3 linked regions of the Oryctolagus cuniculus genome follow. The protein of the gene in region 2 interacts with the protein of the main gene of each other region in a pairwise test. Links are inferred from orthologs where the notes say so. Each region holds a gene or a part of one and is shown on either strand. Other genes may lie near its edges. The genes, in order: EXOC5, TXLNB and cancer/testis antigen 55.

The links.
Region 1: the proteins of TXLNB (region 2) and EXOC5 interact in binary tests that used the Homo sapiens proteins (3 or more experiments, as listed by UniProt). The two-hybrid records come from large-scale screens. The link is inferred for Oryctolagus cuniculus from reciprocal best matches to the Homo sapiens genes TXLNB and EXOC5.
Region 3: the proteins of TXLNB (region 2) and cancer/testis antigen 55 interact in binary tests that used the Homo sapiens proteins (3 or more experiments, as listed by UniProt). The two-hybrid records come from large-scale screens. The link is inferred for Oryctolagus cuniculus from reciprocal best matches to the Homo sapiens genes TXLNB and CT55.

What each region holds. Positions count from the first base shown.
Region 1 is NC_091443.1:19,536,714-19,542,848, reverse strand, and holds part of EXOC5 (exocyst complex component 5), read right to left. Parts: intron 5,906-6,135; coding exon 5,861-5,905; intron 5,762-5,860; coding exon 5,621-5,761; intron 2,344-5,620; coding exon 2,261-2,343; intron 1,061-2,260; coding exon 851-1,060; intron 1-850. UniProt on the Homo sapiens protein: Component of the exocyst complex involved in the docking of exocytic vesicles with fusion sites on the plasma membrane.
Region 2 is NC_091436.1:29,549,365-29,555,599, reverse strand, and holds the start of TXLNB (beta-taxilin), read right to left. Parts: upstream 3,994-6,235; 5' UTR 3,798-3,993; intron 1,233-3,797; 5' UTR 1,232-1,232; coding exon 796-1,231; exon of another isoform or gene 792-795; intron 1-791. UniProt on the Homo sapiens protein: Promotes motor nerve regeneration. May be involved in intracellular vesicle traffic.
Region 3 is NC_091453.1:113,582,572-113,588,806, forward strand, and holds the start of cancer/testis antigen 55, read right to left. Parts: upstream 3,716-6,235; coding exon 3,647-3,715; intron 1,943-3,646; coding exon 1,841-1,942; intron 1-1,840. UniProt on the Homo sapiens protein: Plays a role in spermatogenesis, possibly acting in the regulation of the autophagy pathway.

The sequences.
Region 1 (6,135 bases), on a different chromosome or scaffold from region 2:
TACACATCACTTTCTTCCAGTATGTGAATAATCATTGGTTTTCAAGTATTAATTTAACTTTTATGCCCAAGTCATTGAAAAAAATTCATCAATTTGAGTACCTAAATTGTGAACTATCTGCTATATTTTCAAACTCACAAAAGTAACAAACAAAAAAATGATAAACTTCCACAAAAATAACCTGAAATAATTTACTCTGGCAGAAAAAAAAAAAACTACAGAACTCTTTATATTACTGCTATTCTGCTTTACATTTTTAAAAGTTAATTTTTTAAAAAACTAACAAACATCTGCTAAACATTATAATCATGTTATATTAATTTATTTCAATATGTGGTCAAGAGTTGAAATGTCAACATGATATGAACAACTGGGTTAAAAGTTCTATACTAAAAATTCTGGGGCTGGCACTGGGGCGCAGCAGGTTAACGCCCTGGCCTGAAGCGCTGGCATCCCATATGGGCGGCAGTTCTAGTCCCGACTGCTCCACTTCCAATCCTGCTCTCTGCTATGGCCTGGGATAGCAGCAGAAGATGGCCCAAGTCCTTGGGCTCTTGCACCTGCGTGGGAGACCCGGAGGAAGCTCCTGGCTCCTAGCTTCGGATCGGTGTAGCTCCAGTCGTTGCAGCCAACTGGGGAGTGTACCAGCGGATGGAAGACCTCTCTCTCTCTCTCTCTGCCTCTCCTTCTCTCTCTGTGTAATTCTGACTTTCAAATAAATAAATAAATCTTAAAAAAAGGAAAAAGAAAATTCTAATGACAGTCAATATTTTCTATGCTTGCCCAAATTGAAAAAAAAAAGTTCTTAATCTCTTCAGTTTTAACTATAATATTTAACAAGAACACTCACCCTCCTGTGCCAATGGATCTCTTTTGATGATTTTTTGAATCATAATAACGCTGTAGGATCATAGCACTTCTGCTTTTCAGATATCCAGTCTCCACTTCAATATAGTTCTCCAAATAGGAAATGAAAATGGATTTGATAAGCTTGGACAAGAAAGTCTGTTTATCAGTACCCAAATTAAACTCCATCAACTTGCTGGAAAGATTGGTGGTTCTTTTGATGGAAAAGGGGGAGAAAAAGATTAATGTATATTTATTTAGGTATAGCAACAGTACTGAGGAATATACGTTTACAATTTGACTTTAATGAATTACATTAAACTACCATTTCTTAATCCTTAAGATGAGTACTTAAGATGCAAAGAGTGGCTCTACAGGATTTTATATAAATTAGAATGGAATATTAAAAATCACATTATGACTGACAACTATCCCAAGCACCTCTGGATGTTCTAGGAGAAGAAACTGTGAGGTAAAGAAGCAGTCTAGACATGACAACAGTGGCAAAAGACTCCATTGCCTCAAGTATGCTCGAGTGCCATTCGCCACAGAGCACCCGAAACAGAGCCTTGGGAGATCTGCTCTCGGTTCAGCCCCTTTCCTCTTTGTCCTCGTGAACTTTCCTCTAATTTTCTATCTCCTATTGTTGAAGATAGGTACACAATAATCTTGTGTTTGACTGGGACTTCTTCATTAGGGTAACTTTTGTAGAACCTTCTCTCAAAATGAAGACACTGAAGAAAAGCAATAGAATTGGAAAAGGTCAAGAACAAAAGTTCCAATGAAGCTTCTGAGACAGCATCTGTATAGTAACAATACTAAGAAATATGTATTTTTACAATATGCTTTTAATTAAGCAACAACTTCTTAGACTTTGGGAGAATACGACTTAGGATGCAGAGAGCAGCTCAACAGGGATATATATAAAGTACAATAGACTATACAGATATTTGAAAAAAAGTACAATAGATTACAAATATTTAAAAGTACAAGACAAATTCTCACATCACTTAAAGCTGAAATTGTTATTTGTTACAAATATCACTCCCTTTTGAATTTTCTGCAAGTTTTAACTTCAGATAAATGTAACTACACTAATTTATAGGTGAAAATGATACAGAATAGTGAAACAGCCACAATTAAATTCAGAAAAAAAAAGTTGAGTCTTAAGTTTAAATAAGGTCTTATGTTTCATCATTAAAGAACATTAACATAAAGCATAGCATCCAATTCCTAAGGTTAATGCACTAAGAACACTGCTCTTGCATATTACTACTCTATATGGCCATGCATTTAATGCTAAAAGGCATACTGCTATCTGACAAAATGTTATTCAGACGTACCTGAATATTTCCCCATTTTCTATTTAAAAAATCTGAGATGGATTATTATTTTCTAACAATTAAAAATATACCTTGTATATAGATCATAGAGGTTTTTGAGATACTGCTCTGCATCAGATTTCCTACATTCTTCTAACTGGTCTTTCACAAAACCCTAAAGAAAAAAAAAAGTCAACATTCTATTAATTAAGTAAATATTAAATTCTTTAACTTCCCAAGATTTTTCTTTTAAAGATTTATTTATTTTATTATTTCAAAGAGTTACACAGAGAAAGAAGGAGAGGCAGAGAGAGAGAGAGAGAGAGAGAGAGAGAGAGAGAGGTCTTCCATCGATGGTTCGCTCCCCAATTGGCTGCAACGGGTAGAGCTGTGCCGACCTGAAACCAGGAGCCAGGAGCTTCCTTGGGGTCTCTCACGTGGGTGCAGGGGCCCAAGCACTTGGGCCATATTCCACTGCTTTCCCAGGCCATAGCAGGGAGCTGGATTGGAAGTGGAGCAGCCGAGTCTGAAATTGTCGCCCATATGGAATGCCAGCACTGCAGGAGGCAGCTTTTACCCGCTACACCACAGCACCGGCCCCAAGATTTTTTTTTTTGTCTCTAAAATTCTTCCATAGTTTGAATTACACTGACTTAAAATCCAATCAGGAAAGCAACACCAAGGGCTGGCATTGTGACTCAGCTTGCAAGGCCAGCATCCCAAACTGGAGCTACAGTTCGAGTGCCAGCTGTTAGGCTTCTGATCCAGCTTCCTGCTAACAAGCCTGGGAAGGAGGTGGAGGATGGCCCAAGTGCTTGTGTCCCTGCCATCCCTGTAGGAGACCCAGATGGAGTTTCTGGCTCCTGGCTATTATCACCATTTGGAAAGTGAACATCCAGATGGAAAATCTCTGTTTTCTTCTTTCCTTGCTCCATCCCTCCTTTTCTCTCCCTCTCTGTGTTCTTCTTTCCTCCTTCCTTTCCTCCCTCTTCCTCTCTACCTCCCTCTGTCACTCTGCCAAACAAATAAATACATAAATCTTCAAAGGCAATTCAGAGAAACAGACCAATCATAAAAATTAAAAAGGGGAAAAGGAGCTGGAACTGTGGCACAGCAAATTAAGCCCCATCTGCAGTGCCAGCATCCCCTATGGGTACCGGTTCCATTCCCAGCTACTCCATTTCCAATCCAGCTCCCTGATAATGTGCCTGGGAGAACAGAGGAGGATGGCCCAAGTTCTTGGGCTCCTGCACCAACAGGGGAGACCCAGAGGAAACTCCTTGCTCCTAGCATCATCCTGGCCCAGCTGCGGCCATTTGCAGCCAACTGGGGAGTGAATCATCAGATGGAAGATCTCTGACTTTCAAATAAATAAATAAGCCTTTAAAAAAACCAAAATTTTATTTTCTGTTTCTCCTATTTGCTTGCAGAAAATCCCGTTCAGTCTTCGGAGTAAGTATTATGAGTTTAGAAATACCCTTTCTTTTGAAACTGGCTTATTCTGCCTCATGAGGTATTTAAAACAGACAAACAAATTCAATCAAACAACTGAAACCACACCACCAGCATCAATGTCTTACAGCACATTTCCCAAACTGTGGTCCAGGCAGTGCCAGTGTCCCTTTAGATATTACCAGGCATGACTATAAAATAAGGTTTCTTGGTCAATGTGAGAAATGCTGTACACTAAAATCCCATTTCTAAAGAATCACAACTTGTAAGGCTACTGAAAGTCCTAAACTGCATTAACAACAACAACAACAAAAAATATACTGAATGTTGCTTAATCCAGCAGTAAACATAGTTTAGGAAGTGTTTCCTGAAAGTATAGTGCTACAGCATTCAAGGTTGTAAATTAAATTCCTGTGCTTTTCCTTTTTAAGCTGATATCATTACTAAAAATTCTACAGACTAAACTTATAATTCTTGTTTAATTCTATAAAAGTCATCTATCAGGCAAAATGAAGACGAACAAAAATTGAGGCTATCTTACTACAGTATCTCTCTACTACTAGAGCTATACAAACTTCACGCACGTACCCTGATGGCGGTGACTGACACTTTTTCCTTGATGAATATCAAAACATTATTTAAAAAGCATGATACTAGCATTCCCTTGCCCTTAACTGATTACTATTTCTAAGGTCCCTAAAGAAAGGGTCTTCAAAAAGTCCAGACACTGCCATGGAACCTTCACCGGGATATCACACCCCCCTGATGGCTCCTCAGCTGAGCAGCACGTACTGGGGTTGGGCGGTGAGGGAGGGTGGTGGCAGCTTCCTGGCCCTGCTTGTGCTGGGTGGGCGTCTCCCAGAGTTTATGGAGTAATACCAAGGTCTGGCCTGGTTTGGGTTGGGCAGGGGAGCCTATTGTCCCGCCATGCTGTGAGGGTCTTAATAACCCAAAAGATACTTTCCCAAGTCCTGGGAGGGTGGCTCAGTGACACTGCTTTGGACATTACAGTCTCCAGTTGTCAGCAATCCTAGCCCCAAGCCAACACAGGTGCTTCTGGATTGGGGTGTGATGCTGGGTTGGTGGAACGAGGTGGGAATTGAACCCAGCCACTCGATGGGGTGGAACTCTCTCAGTGGAATGAGCTGATCTTTAAATGCAGCTGATTTGTAGCCAGGGTGGGCACAGAAACCACAAGCTGAGGGTGGAAGCCACTGGGACGCCTCTTGAGTACCCTGTGTAAGTTCCTGGTTACTTCTCCATTCTTGCCTCCTGGTAATGCTGCCCGTCTCCACTCCCTCCCCATGCCAGAGGTGAGAGCCTCTACCACCCACCTGGGATCAGACACTGCCCTCCCACCTCCTGGCTTCGGCCCTCCCTCTGGCCATTTTAGGCCTTTGGGGGCAGCACCAGAAGATTGGGGGGGGGGGGGAGGGTCTCACTCGAAATAAAAGTTTTAAAAGAAAAAAGAAAAAAAAATTCAGAGTACGTGAATTATGAAAAACCTATGCTTAGGGGCCGATGCTGTGGCGCAGCAGGTTAACGCCCTGGCCTGAAACACCGGCATCTCATATGGGCACCAGTTGGAGAATCGGCTGCTCCACTTCCAATCCAGCTCTCTGCTATGGCCTGGGAAAGCAGTAGAAGATGGCCCACGACCTTGGGCCCCTGCACCCACACGGGAGACTGGGAAGAGACTCCTGGCTTCGGATCAGTGCAGCTCCAGCTATTGCAGCCAACTGGGGAGTGAACCATCGGATGGAAGACCTCTCTCTCTCTCTCTCTCTCTGTAACTCTTTCAAATAAAAATAAATAAATCTTTTTAAAAAAAAAGGAAAATAAAAACCTATGCACAGATTTCAAAATTCTTTTATATCAAAATAAACCTATCTTTTAATTCCATTTTTCCACAAGTACTTTAAGTAAACTAAATTAACAATGTTCTAATATTAAAAAAATATACATTGACAAGAAGTGCTTAATTCATTATTTAAAATTACCTGTAATTTGATTTCAAATACGTTTTGAATAAGTTTAGCAAGTACTGTTTCTGGATTACTAAAGATATCTCCAACTTGTTTGTTCACACGTTGACAGAGTATTGCTGCATCTTCAAATATATCATTTCTCATGTAAGCACCCTACACAACAAAGGCATTTTACATAATAAACAATTTTAGGTGGTTTTAAAACACAAATTAGCATAAAATAAAATCCAATGAAGTGTACTGAAATGTTACCTCCTGGCACTGCTTTATATAAACATCAACACAATGGGAATAACCCTAGGAAGAAGAAACATATTGTTACCACTGATCTGTTTCAACTGTAACAAAAATCACCCCAATAAAAGAAGCTCTATATATAATAAAGCTGTCCTATATCCCGGGGAACAGTCAATAGTAATAGCTGTTAGATTAATTATAGTGAATCAATAACTTAATATGTCCTCGCCCTCTCTCACACTTTCAAGAAATTTTATCAGCTGGTTTATATCTGTGTTGGACTTTAAGAC
Region 2 (6,235 bases):
AAGATAATGATGACTAGCTATTAGGTGGTAGTAGTAGAGGTTGTGGTAATAGGGACAGTGTTTAGGAAGGGGTAGAGTGATTTGAGATAAATCTGGAACTGATTAGGATTAGACCATTAGTTCCTTAAAGAACATATTAAGAATGTTAGTCTTCCCTTGGGTGGTCACTGATGTTGTACATAAGAGTGTTAATTCTTAAATTAACAACAGGAGTCACTGCGCACTAACTCCCCACGTAGGACCTCTGTCCTCAATGAATTGTATTATGAGAGTTAACTGTTTTCAAACAGTTTTTTTGTGTATGTGTGTGTGTGTGCAAATTGTTGAAATCTTCAGTTAGTATAGAGTTGGTCTTCGTGTTCAAAGTTAATTGAAAATGGATCTTAATGGAGAATGGGACTGGCAAGTGAAGGAGGAGGAAGAGGAGGTGTGGGAGTGTGGGTGGGAGGGAAGGTATGGTGGGAAGAATAACTATGTTCCTAAAGTTGTACTTATGAAATTTATATTCCTTAAAAAATAAGTTAAAAAAAGAAAAAATTGAGGCCCCCCCCCCAAAAAAAAGAATGTTAGTCTTTACCCTAAGGCAATGGGAAACCATTGGGACAGAGGGAAGATGGGTAATATGTTAAAAAGTTCACTTAAACTCTATTGTGGGAAAGGGGCTGGGAACAAGAGAGCCTGTGGGAAGATCTGAAGGAGATGCAAATATTAGATGTGGGTTTTAGTGGAGTTTGGAGAAAGTGCCCCTCTTAGGAATAATTCAAAGAAAAGTCATGTTAGAACATAACTACTTGCCTAATCCTTTTAGGATTTTCTTTTCCAATTTTTGCTCTTTATTGCTGATTGGCTCTTTAACTGTGGCTGGGTCTCCAGAAGCAGCAGGTTCTCTGTCAGCCTCTCCAGCGTTCTCCTCACAGTCTCCATCCTCATGGTCGGCTGCTTCTGCATTTGCAGGCTGCTCCTTGGCCTTGGGAGCTCCCTCTTTGCCCACTGTACTGGCAGCAGACCCGTATGTGTTGATGATGTCTTCCAGTTGACGGTTTAACTCTTCAGAGATGTCGTGAGTCCCCTTTTCAGGGTGCACACTTGCCTCTTGCTGTGGTGCTTGGAGTAGGGTTGGGGAATTCTGACCATCTTGCTTCTCAAGGCCATTCTGCCTAGGTGATGAAGAACTGTCCTCTGGAGGTGTGGACTGTTCTGCTGAGAGCTGTTCAGCGTGATTAATCTCCATACTGTGTGTAGTATCAAGTGGTAAGCATAGTTAGGTTTTGTGTAGTTCACTAAGTTATGTGAGCAAATTGAGCATCAACTAATTATGGTTTCTAACATAGAGTGAATGTACTTTTACAAATCATTGCTGTTACAATTAGTTAGGTAGAAACAGTGGGAAGCCATTTTTCCAGATGGAGTCATACTACTAGCATATTTATGGTTTTAGTTTTCAGTATACCTTATTATTAACATTACCAAAGTATTGTTTTTCGTGACATATTTGTCATTTGCTTAGAAGATCCAATGTTACCATTTTCTTTTATGAATATGTGTAGATTCACAATCATTGGAAGTACACAGGTATATACATTTCATATGTTTAATTTTAAGTGGTATTAGTTTTCATTCAAAGTTAAATTACTTAATACAATAGCCAATTAACTTTAAATGATTCATAACAATAATGCCCCTAACTTTATATTGACCTGTAAGTAAAGAGTTGATTAGTACAGATGGTTGGATGTAAATGAATTATTCTAGTGATTCAGGAGATATTCTTGCCTTTCTAGTATTTTCTTTTTCCCAGATGAGCAACATGTTATTAATTGTCAATCAGCAAAAATATTTTTCCTGAAATTCATTCTAGCATCATTTTTGTAATAAGACGTGGAATAAGGGAAGGTGTAAATAAACCAACCAATATGGAAACATGGTAATGCTTATAATAATAGCAATTTCTTAAATTTCTACAATAACTTTTTATTCCTCTATAAAAATCGGCTTTCTTTTAGAAGAAAGCAGATTATCACTTTCTATTCCAAGGCAAGTAACTCTAGGGAAACTTAATAATTTTTTTTTTTTTTTTTTTTTTTTTTTTTTACAGGCAGCGTGGACAGTGAGAGAGAGAGAGAGACAGAGAGAAAGGTCTTCCTTTGCCTTTGGTTCACCCTCCAGTGGCCGCTGCGACTGGCGCTGCGGCCGGCGCACCGCGCTGATCCGATGGCAGGAGCCAGGTACTTCTCCTGGTCTCCCATGGGGTGCAGGGCCCAAGCACTTGGGCCATCCTCCACTGCACTCCCTGGCCACAGCAGAGAGCTGGCCTGGAAGAGGGGCAACCGGGACAGAATCCGGCTCCCCGACCGGGACTAGAACCTGGTGTGCCGGCGCCGCTAGGCGTAGGATTACCCTAGTGAGCCATGGCGTCGGCCAATCATTTTTATTATATATCAAGTAAAAAAGCAGGGAAGGAATGAACTAGGAAAATAATGTAAGTATAACACAAGTTCTTAAGAAATGAGGAGTGAGGAACAAAGTTGTGTGGAAGATTACTGTAGGGTGTCTGGCTACTACCATTTCTAGATTTGCAATCAGTTTGTGTTAGTTCATTAAGTGATGGAACATTTTATCTGTAAATAATATTTAATGCTGATGATGCTACTTATGACCATAAAATATGGCACGATCCTCATCATTCATAGGTTTTGCTGCTATGGTCATGTGAAAGTGAGAACAAAAACATACTCTTGTATCAACGGCACAGCCCCCTTCCCTCATTCTCAGGGCAGTGGGTGTCAGATGTTTGGACACCAGCGAGAAAGGAAAAGCCAGAGCTTAGACATTGCCACCTACTTGTTGCTCTCACCAAGTACTCATTAAGTTAGAAGGAAGTTCTTTTTTTCTTTCACCAATTTTAATTCACCAATTTGATGATCAGATAATGTATGTAGTAGACAGCTTCTTTGTTTTCCTCATTGGAATCTCTTGATCTTGATCTCCACTTGTTAGGCACACTCATCTATATATAACTTATGCTTCCTCTAAACTCAAAGACACATGGCACCTGCTGTCCAGTCAGAAGTTATTTTAAGCTATTCTAAAATGAGTCATGGCATTTAGCACGTCATCCTTGGGCATTCAAGAGAATAATTTTTAAATCAAATTAAAACAGTATGTATTTAGTGACTTAAGACCATATGTGAGTTTTAAAATGTTGGGAACCCATATTAGAATCAAATCAAATCAAATCAAAATGAAAGCGAATTTCAATCAAGAATTTAAAACCGACTGTGTATGGAGTTTTACTGTGGTTAGTCTACATGCACATGTTTTGTTTGTATTTGATTTATTCTTCATTCTTCAGATGTCATTATCATTGATGTCTTTAATTCCACAAATATTCTTTAAACTCCTTTTCCACATTTACTTTAAGGCAGAATAACTGAGTCATTAACCACAGGACAACTCAATTTCTAAAAGTAGACTCAAGACAAATCAACAAGAGGAAAAAACATTGTTAGTTTTAAAGGACCCTTTTATATAAATTATTTTTATGTCAAAGAATTTAATTTTCACTTTCATCTATGTGAACTGTGTTGCCCTTTCCTCCCCTCCTCTGAGAGCATATTTCACTTGTGCTGGCAGTCCCAGCACTCACACATCCCTTCCTGAGCCACACATTTTAATTATAAATGCAACAATGGAAAGTTCTTCAACAGTTCACTGGCAGTCTCAAAGTTGCAAGTTTCGAGCACCACAAACCACTCCCTACATCTCACAGGGCTTGGGGGAGTGTTTGTCATACTTACCAGAAGGCAGGGAGCTTAAGCAGGAAGAGAAAGAGAGGAAAGCAGCAGCAAAGAGCAAGTCAGAGCGGCAGCAACAGCAGGAGAAGGCGGGCGGACTGTGTTCTTACAGGGGAGAGAGAAACCAAATACACACTCGTGCGCGCGCACACACACACACACAGGCACTGGTGGAGGCAGCAGGAGGGAGGAGGTGGGGGTGGGGAGAGGAACATCTTATGACACAGCAAGAGAGAAATCCACCCAAGCTTCAGTGGCTGTGGCCCTGGCAAATATCTGAGAAAACAGCAGTAGCTGGCAGATCTTATCAGACTCTCCACGTTTTGTTCTTCTAAAAATTTAAACTCTTAGTAGATAGCCCCTTGGCAAATACGATTTTTCACTGTTGTTCTTTTGGGCAGAGATCCGTTTTCCTTGGTTTATCTCCAGAGTGGGTTGTGGTTCATCATCTTTATTTTCCTACTTGGGGCTAGCCTAATTAGTGTCAGGTTTCATGCTGGAGGAATCCTGCAAAGCAGAAAACAAGGGCATACCGAAAAGGTGGTAGAGCCACGTTAATTCTGACGCTACAGTTGCGCTGTTTGCAAATGTGCAATAGCAGTGAAGTGAGCGTTTTGGAGCTGGGAGTAATCTTCATGTGCATGGTGACTGGCATGTCCTCAGAGAGTCCTTCCCAGGAGACTACCACATCTCGGGCCCTTAGGAAAGCAGTCTGCTTTATCTTCTTAGTGGGGTTTTCTCACCTCGCAGAGCAGCGTGTCCACCCCTTTCAAAGCCCCTGTGTGCTCCTCAATCTTCCTCAGAAAAAGAACCTCATTCCCACACACTGTAAAATGCTGTCTTACATTTACTGCCCTTTTCTTTCAGTTCCCAGGGAATGTGTTCCTACTTTTCCAAAGCAGATCCTTCTATGAGACTTTCTGCTTTGGGGACAGGATGGACCAAGTGGCACTCCTTGTGGTAGACCAAATAATGCCATCCAAAAGATGTCCATATCCTAATCCCTGTTCTGTGCACGTAACTTGACAAGGCAAAAACAATTTTGCCTTAGATTAAGGTCTTGGCGTGGGGAGATGGTTCTGGATTATGAACCACAGGGTTCTCATAATTGTAAGAGGAAGGTGAGAGGATCAGACTTAGAAAAGAAGATTGATGACCAGTAAAGATCAGCGTGATGTGTGGCAGTGAACCAAGGAATGCGGGAGGTTCTAGACACTGGAAAAGGCAGGGAAATGGATTCTCCTCTGCAGCCTCCAGAAAAATGCAGTACTGCTGGCATGTGGATTTTAGCCCCATTTAGCTCCTTTTGGGTTTCTTACAGAAGCATAAGATAGTAAGTTTTTTTTTTAAGCTGCTAAATTTATAGTAAATTGTTATGGCAGCAATAGGAAACCCAAAACATTGCACCCTCTCAAGCGTTTTCCTACTCCTTTCTCTGAGGTCAGGGGAGGCATAAATTATATATAGGTGAGCATAACTAATAAATAGAGGTCAGGGAAAAGAAATCTGGGTGATTTCAACAATGAAGCCGTTTACTGCATCATGGTAATAAAGTTAGTGAACTAAAATCGATGAAAGAAAAAGGTATTTCCTTCTAACGTTAATGAGCACTTAGTGAATGCTACAACCTGATTGTAGAAAATTGACCTAATGAGATTTGTCAGTAAATGAGTCAGTGCTTCTCAAATTTATGCACATTTTTTTAACAGAATAGTTTAAATAATGTTGAATTTAATTTAAAGGGAAAAATTCATTCTATGATTGAACTAAATTATTATTTGGACTAATATATACTAATATGAAAATAGATGTTTCTTATCCTTACAGTAATTATATAGTATAAAACCAATAAATGCAATTAAATTACCAATATTACTTTTTTTCTGGCAATAATGTTGTGCAGAGTCCAAGGTGCAACTTGCAACATGAATATTGGTGCTGACTGTTGGTCCTTTTGAGTTCATGGTGTTTTTCTATAAGAAGTGACTCAAGGTGCTGGTCTTGAGGCACAGTTGGTTAAAATACTGCCTGTGGTGCCATATTGAGCCCAGATCCCTGATAATGTGCCTGGGAAAGCAGCAGAAGATGGCCCAAGTACTGGGGCCCCTGCCATGTGGAAGACCTGAATGAAGTCCCAGGCTCCTGGCTCTAGCCTGGCCAAGCCACAACTGTTATAGCCATTTGAGGAGTGAACCAGCATATAGAAGATTTTTCTTTCTCTGTCTTTCCCTCTCTTTTTGATACTCTGTCTTTCAAATAAAATAAAATAAAGCTTTAAAAAGTGATACAGTTTCTTCAAGACTTGGCCCATTCAGATTATTACAGATGTTTCACTTGTGTCACCTGCTATGATTTAATTTGATACTGACACATCCTTTATTGCTTGCTATGAGCTGGATGTTTGTATGCCCCCGAGTTCATACACTGACATCCGAACTCCC
Region 3 (6,235 bases), on a different chromosome or scaffold from region 2:
CTGTACAATTATTCACCACACAGAATATTTTTCAAATATTTATTTATTTACTTATGTATTTATTTGAAAAGGGGAGAGAGAGAGAGAGAGAGAGAGAGAGAGATCTTGATTTTCCATCTACTGGTTCACTCCCTAAATGCTTCCAACAGCCACATCTGGATCAGGATAAAGCCAGGAGCCACAAACTGCATCAAGGACTTCCACATTTGTGGCAGGAATCCAAGCACTTGGGGCCATCATTTGTTGCCTCCAAGGGGCATTAACAGGAAACTGAATAAGAATCATGAAGTATCCAGGACTCAAACCGGCACTCTGATATGGGATGTCGGTGTCTCAAGCAATGGCTTAACCTGCTGTGCCACAACACCTGCACACATAACTGAACTTTGCTCTAACATCTCCATATTTCTCTTCCACCATAACAACCATTATTGTACAATCTAGTTCTGTAATTTCAACTATTTTTAAAGATTTATTTTTTATTTGAAAGTCAGAGCTATGGAGAGAGATACAGAGACAGAAACAGAAACAGAAAGACAGAGAGAAACTTCCACCTGCTGGTGGAATACAGTAGCCAGGGCTGGGCCAGGCCAAAGCCAGGAGCTTCTTCCAGGTCTCCCACATGGATGCAGGGGCCCAAGCACTTCAACCATCTTCCTTTGCTTTCTCAGGCACATTACCAGGGAGGTGGATCAGAAGTGGAGCAGACAGGACTTTAACCCATGCCCATATGGAATGCTGGCATTGCAGGTGGCAGCTTAACCCACTATACCACAATGCCAGCTCCTGTAATTTTGGATATTTTCTATTCCTCATATAGGAGTTGTTAGAAGTGAACCAGTGGTGTGTTTTCTCTTTTTAAAAAGATTTTATTTATTGAGAAGCAGAGTTACAGACAGTGAGAAGAAGAGACAGAGAGAAAGGTCTTCCTTCCATTGGTTCACTCCCCAAATAGCCACAATGGCCGGAGCTGTGCCGATCTGAAGCCAGGAGCCAGGAGCCTCTTCCTGGTCTCCCACGCAGGTGCAGGAGCCTAAGGACTTGGGCCATCTACCACTGCTTTCCCAGGACATAGCAGAGAGCTGGATTGGAAGAGGGACAGCCGAGACTAGAACCTCCACCCATATGGGATGCTGGTGCCGCAGGCAGAGGATAATCCTACTGCGCCACGGCGCTGGCCCAAGTAGTGTATTTTCATAAGAATTTAGCCTAAGTACAATCGTGATGCCAGGGTCTAGTCCCCATCTGCAAAGGAAGTTAAGTTAAACAAAACAAAACAAAGCTGATGAGCTCACTTATTGAAGCTGAGTGGAATAGATTCATGTCTTTACACAAAACACAATTCAGACATGAGACAGAGAAGGGTGGTGGGCAGAGTGACAAGGTTTAAAGGATAGGCATTCATAGAACAGATGGACTGCTCTCTAGACAGGATCTGAGAGAGCGCCCCTAGTTTACCTTTACACTGGGGTTTCTAAGGGAATGGGGTCCAGTTCTTCCTGTCACTTCTCCTTCCTTGATCCTTCTTCTGGACAATAGGATGTGCTGAGTGTGAATTATGTAAAATTCCTCCCAAGGTTTTAGTATGAAGTGTTATCAGACTGAGCAGTCCACCTGGTGCCTGGCAGATGTGATCCCTTTGGAGGAAGGCTAGAACCACCTGCAGAGCTACTGGGGTATGGGCAGAACTTTGTAGTGTAAAATACTGTGCTGCTTGTATGGCTGTTACCTTCCTTTTTTTATTTATGGGCCCTCACTTGTGTACACATAGGCTAATTTCTAACTTCCTAACAGTTTAAACTATGTAACCACATTGTTATCTCCCTCTCCCCTATCCTACCTGCCCAGCAACATCCAATACTTCATTGCCTCCTTCACTTGCATTATCATGTTTAGATTGTACCTGCTGATGTTGCTCAAACTTGCAGAAGGGAACTTTGCACTACAGGCATAAAAGGAAATAAATTTCTGAGAGTAACACCTGCTCCCACCATCTGATCACCACTCTTGAGATAAGGTATCAGTAAACGCCTCACTTTCTGCTTCCTTCATGTTTCTGAGTCTATCTTTTTGTGGTTAGGTGTTCTCAGGTGGGCTTATTTCTCACAGATGTAATCATGCAGTATTTGTCTTTCTGTTCCTCACTTATTTCACTTTGCTTAATGACTTCAAGATTCATCCATATTGTAGGAAGTGGCAGGATTTCTTTCTTTTTAAAGGTTGAATAATATTCCATTGTGTGTGTCATATTTTTGTTATCTATTCATCTGTCAGTGGATATTTAGATTATTTCCACATGTTGACCATTATGAAAAATACTACAATGAATGTGGGGGTGCAGATATCTCTTCAGGCTACTGATTTCATTTCCTTTATATATATTTAATATATAATATTTTTAAATATATAATATAGTTTAATATATAAATATATATTTCTGTATCTATATGCAGAAATGATATTGCTGGATCATAAAGTAGTTCTACTTTTTAGAAACCCCCAATCTACTTTCCATAATGGCTAAGTTAATTTATGTTCTCAAAACAATGTACAATGTTCCCTTTTTTCACAAGATACCTAGCACTTGTTATGTCTTCACAGCTTGGTAATAGCTATTCTAAAGGGTATGAAGTGATAGAACACTGTAGTTTTGATGTATATTTCCCTGATGATTAGTTATGTTGAGCAACTTTTCACATACCTATTGGCCATTTGTATGTCTTCTTTTGAGGAATATCTATTCTAGTCCTTTGCTTACTTTTTAACCTGATTGTATGTATTCTTTCTTTATTTTTAATATTAATCTCTCATTAGTTGTGTAACTTAAAATATTTTCTCTCATCCCATAGACTGCCTTTTCATTCTATGTATTGTTTTCTTTGCTGTGCAGAAGCTTTATAGTTTGATGCAGTCCCACTTACCCAGTTTAACTTTTATAGCCTATGCTTTTGGAGTCATATCAAAAAATCATTGCCCACACCCTCCCCCCAAAAGAAAAAAATCCCAGGACTTTCCTATTTTATTTTCTTTCAGTATTTGTACAGTTTCAGATTTTACATTTGTCTTTAATCTTTTTTCAGTTGACTTTTGTATATAGTGTTAGGTAAGAATTCAATGTCATTCTTCTGCATGTGAATATTCAATTTTCTTAACACCATTTATTGAAGGAACCACCCTTTCCCCATTGTGTATTCTTGGTACCATTGTTGAAGAACAGTTGACTTGAAATGTGTGGATTTATTTCTGAACTCTGTTCTGTTCCTTTGGTCTATATGCCTAGATTTGTTTTTAAAGATCTATTCATTTCTTTGACAGAGTTACAGAAAGAGAAGGAGAGGGAAAGAACAGGCAGAGGAAGAGGGAGAGGGGGAGAGAGAGAGAGAGAGAGAGAGAGAGAGAGAGATGTTCCATCTACTGGTTCACTCCCCAAATTGCTGCAATAGCCAGGGCTGGGTCAGTTGGAAGACAGGAACCAGGAGCTTCATCCAGGTCTTCCACATGGGTGCAAGGGCCCAAGCCTTTAGGCTATCCTCCATTGCTTTCCCCTGCACATTAGCAGGGAGCTAGATCCTAAGTGAGACTATGTAGGGTTGGGTACACATCGGGGAGGAGTTCATGTGTGTGACAGCCAATGTCCCCACAAGACCAGGGTGTCCATGTCCAAGGAGAAGTTCCCAGAGTCAGAGCTGAGCACTCCATCCAAGGCCAGTGCCATGGAGTATGCTTCTGGGTGGGGGAGGGGGATAGTGAATGCAGGGCCATGAGGCAGTCAAGAAGTCTTTGCTGTTCTGCACCAAGCAGGCAGGTGGGGAGCATAACCACATGGGCTCTGGATGACCCCATCATGCATTAGATACCTCTGTTGAGCCACCCCAAAGGGGACAGAACTGAGAGAATGAGTGCATGCACACTGACAAGATGAAGCTTCTTCTGTGTGCTTGAATCTCCCAGGGACAGGGCACGGGTTGTAAGACATTTAATGAAAGGCTGGAAGGAACTTGCATCTGTGGAAGAGGTCCAATTCTGAAACAAAAATGTATGTCAGCAAGTGTTTTTTTTTTTTTTTAAATATTGACTCAAAGCCAAGACCTACTAAAAGGTACATTCAGTAGAGTTTTGTGTCTATTCAAACTAGCCAGCTAAAGTAGTATGTCTGTTAGCGGTGCTTAGAGCAACGCCAATACACAGGTTAACACTTGCCCCTGTTGCCCAAATTAAGATCCAGTCACACATGAGGAATAAAGTCTGGCGTTATGGCACTATGGGTTAACTCTGTGCCTGCAATGCTGGCATCCTGTATCAGAAGCCAGTTAGAGTCCCAGCTGCTCTACTTCTGCTCCAGCTCTCTGCTAATTAATGTGACTGGGAATGTGGTGGAAGATGGCCCAAGTAGTTGGGTCCCTACCACCCACATGGGAAACCCAGATGCTGCTCCTGGCTCCTGGCTTTGGCCTGGCCCTGCTCTGGCTGTTGTCTTTTCCAAGAAGTCTTTGCCTGCGCCTATATATTACAGGGTTTCTCCGATGTTATCTAATAACTTGATGGTGTTAGGTCGTAGATTTAGATCTTTAATCAGTGTTGGGTGGATTTTTGTGTAAGGTGTAAGGTAGGGGTCTTGCTTCATGCTTCTGCATGTGGAAATCCAGTTTTCCCAGCACCATTGGTTGAATAGACTGTCCTTGCTCCAGGGATTGGTTTTAGCTCCTTGGTCAAATATAAGTTGGTTGTAGATGTTTGGATTGATTTCTGGTGTTTCTATTCTATTCCATTTGTCTAGCCCTCTGTTTTTGTACCAGTCCCAGGCTGTGTTGATTATAACTGCCCTGTAGTATGTGTTGAAATCTGGTATTGTGATGCCTCCAGCTTTGTTTTTGCTATATAAGATTGCTTTAGCTATTCGAGGTCTCCTGTGTGACTGTCTCTTCTTGAGAAAGGCCCTAATCACACCCTCCCAAAGACCTCCAGATGTAGTTAACAAGCGTAACCCACAGATGTCGCTGTTTCCATTAGTGTAGGCCAGACTTCAGCTGGAAGTTCACCAAAGGCTTTGACATTTGCCTTCTGTTAACAAATAAATCAGGAGGATGAGAAATATAACTGTTCAGAAGTTATATGAGGAGCAAGATCTTAATCAATTATGTGCTACACCACTGCAGTGATTCAGTGTTAAGTTGGAATCCCAGCTTTTCAGGTTATGAACTGTGTGACTTTGCTCAGGTCTCTTATACTCTCTGGGCTTTACTTTTTACATTTTCTTTTTTAAAAAAAGATTTATTTTATTTACTGGAAAGATGGAGTTACAAAGAGAGGTAGAGCCAGAGAGAGACAGAGAGAGAGAGAGGTCTTCTATCTGCTGGTTCACTCCCCAGATGACCACAATGGCCAGAGCTGAGCTGATATGAAGCCAGGAGCCAGGAGCTTCTTCCAGGTCTCCCACGTGGGTTCAGGAACCCAAGGACGTGGGCCATCCTTCACTGCTTTTCCAGGCCACAGCAGAGAGCTGGATCAGAAGTGGAGCAGCCGAGACACGAAGTGGCGCCCATATGGGATGCTGGCAGTGCCGGCTGGGGTTTTTAATCCGCTGTGCCACAGTGCCGGCTCCACTTTTTACATTTTCAAAATGATGGTTAATTCATTAAATAAATAGAGTTCTTTGAGAAGGCAATGAAAAAACCACGTGAAAAAATAGGCATTTAACACAGTGCCTGACCCGAGGAAGCAGCCAGGAAATGATTATTTCTTAGCTGTTAGTTTCATTCACAGCTATTCCTACTGAGTCCCAGGAACATCTGAGAGGCAGCACCATGGCAGGGCTGCAGAGCACTTGTTTGAGTAGTAAATAGAGCAGTTCTACTACTTAAGAAGGGGTTGTGGGAACATTGTGTACCCTCTCTGATTTTCAGACTCATGGCTGATGAATTATAAAGTTTGGTACCCAACCTGCTGGTGGCTGCGGAGAAGGATGTGGCCAAGGTGTGAAAGTACAACATACAAGGGATTCTATTCATCAGCATTTTGTCTGGTTTTTGAAAGTACAGCCTTGTTCTGATGTTGATGATTGCGCTTGCTTAAATCATCAGTGAGTCTTCCTGGAAGCCCATAGCTCCCTCTGCTGGTCTGAGCTCTGCCAGAAACCTCTGGAGGCCTTATGTGTCTTTGGCTTCCCACACCCACTGGAACAAGCGCCTGGGTGCTGTCTCTCCTCATATAGATCCCAGATTTGGCAAGTTCTAAG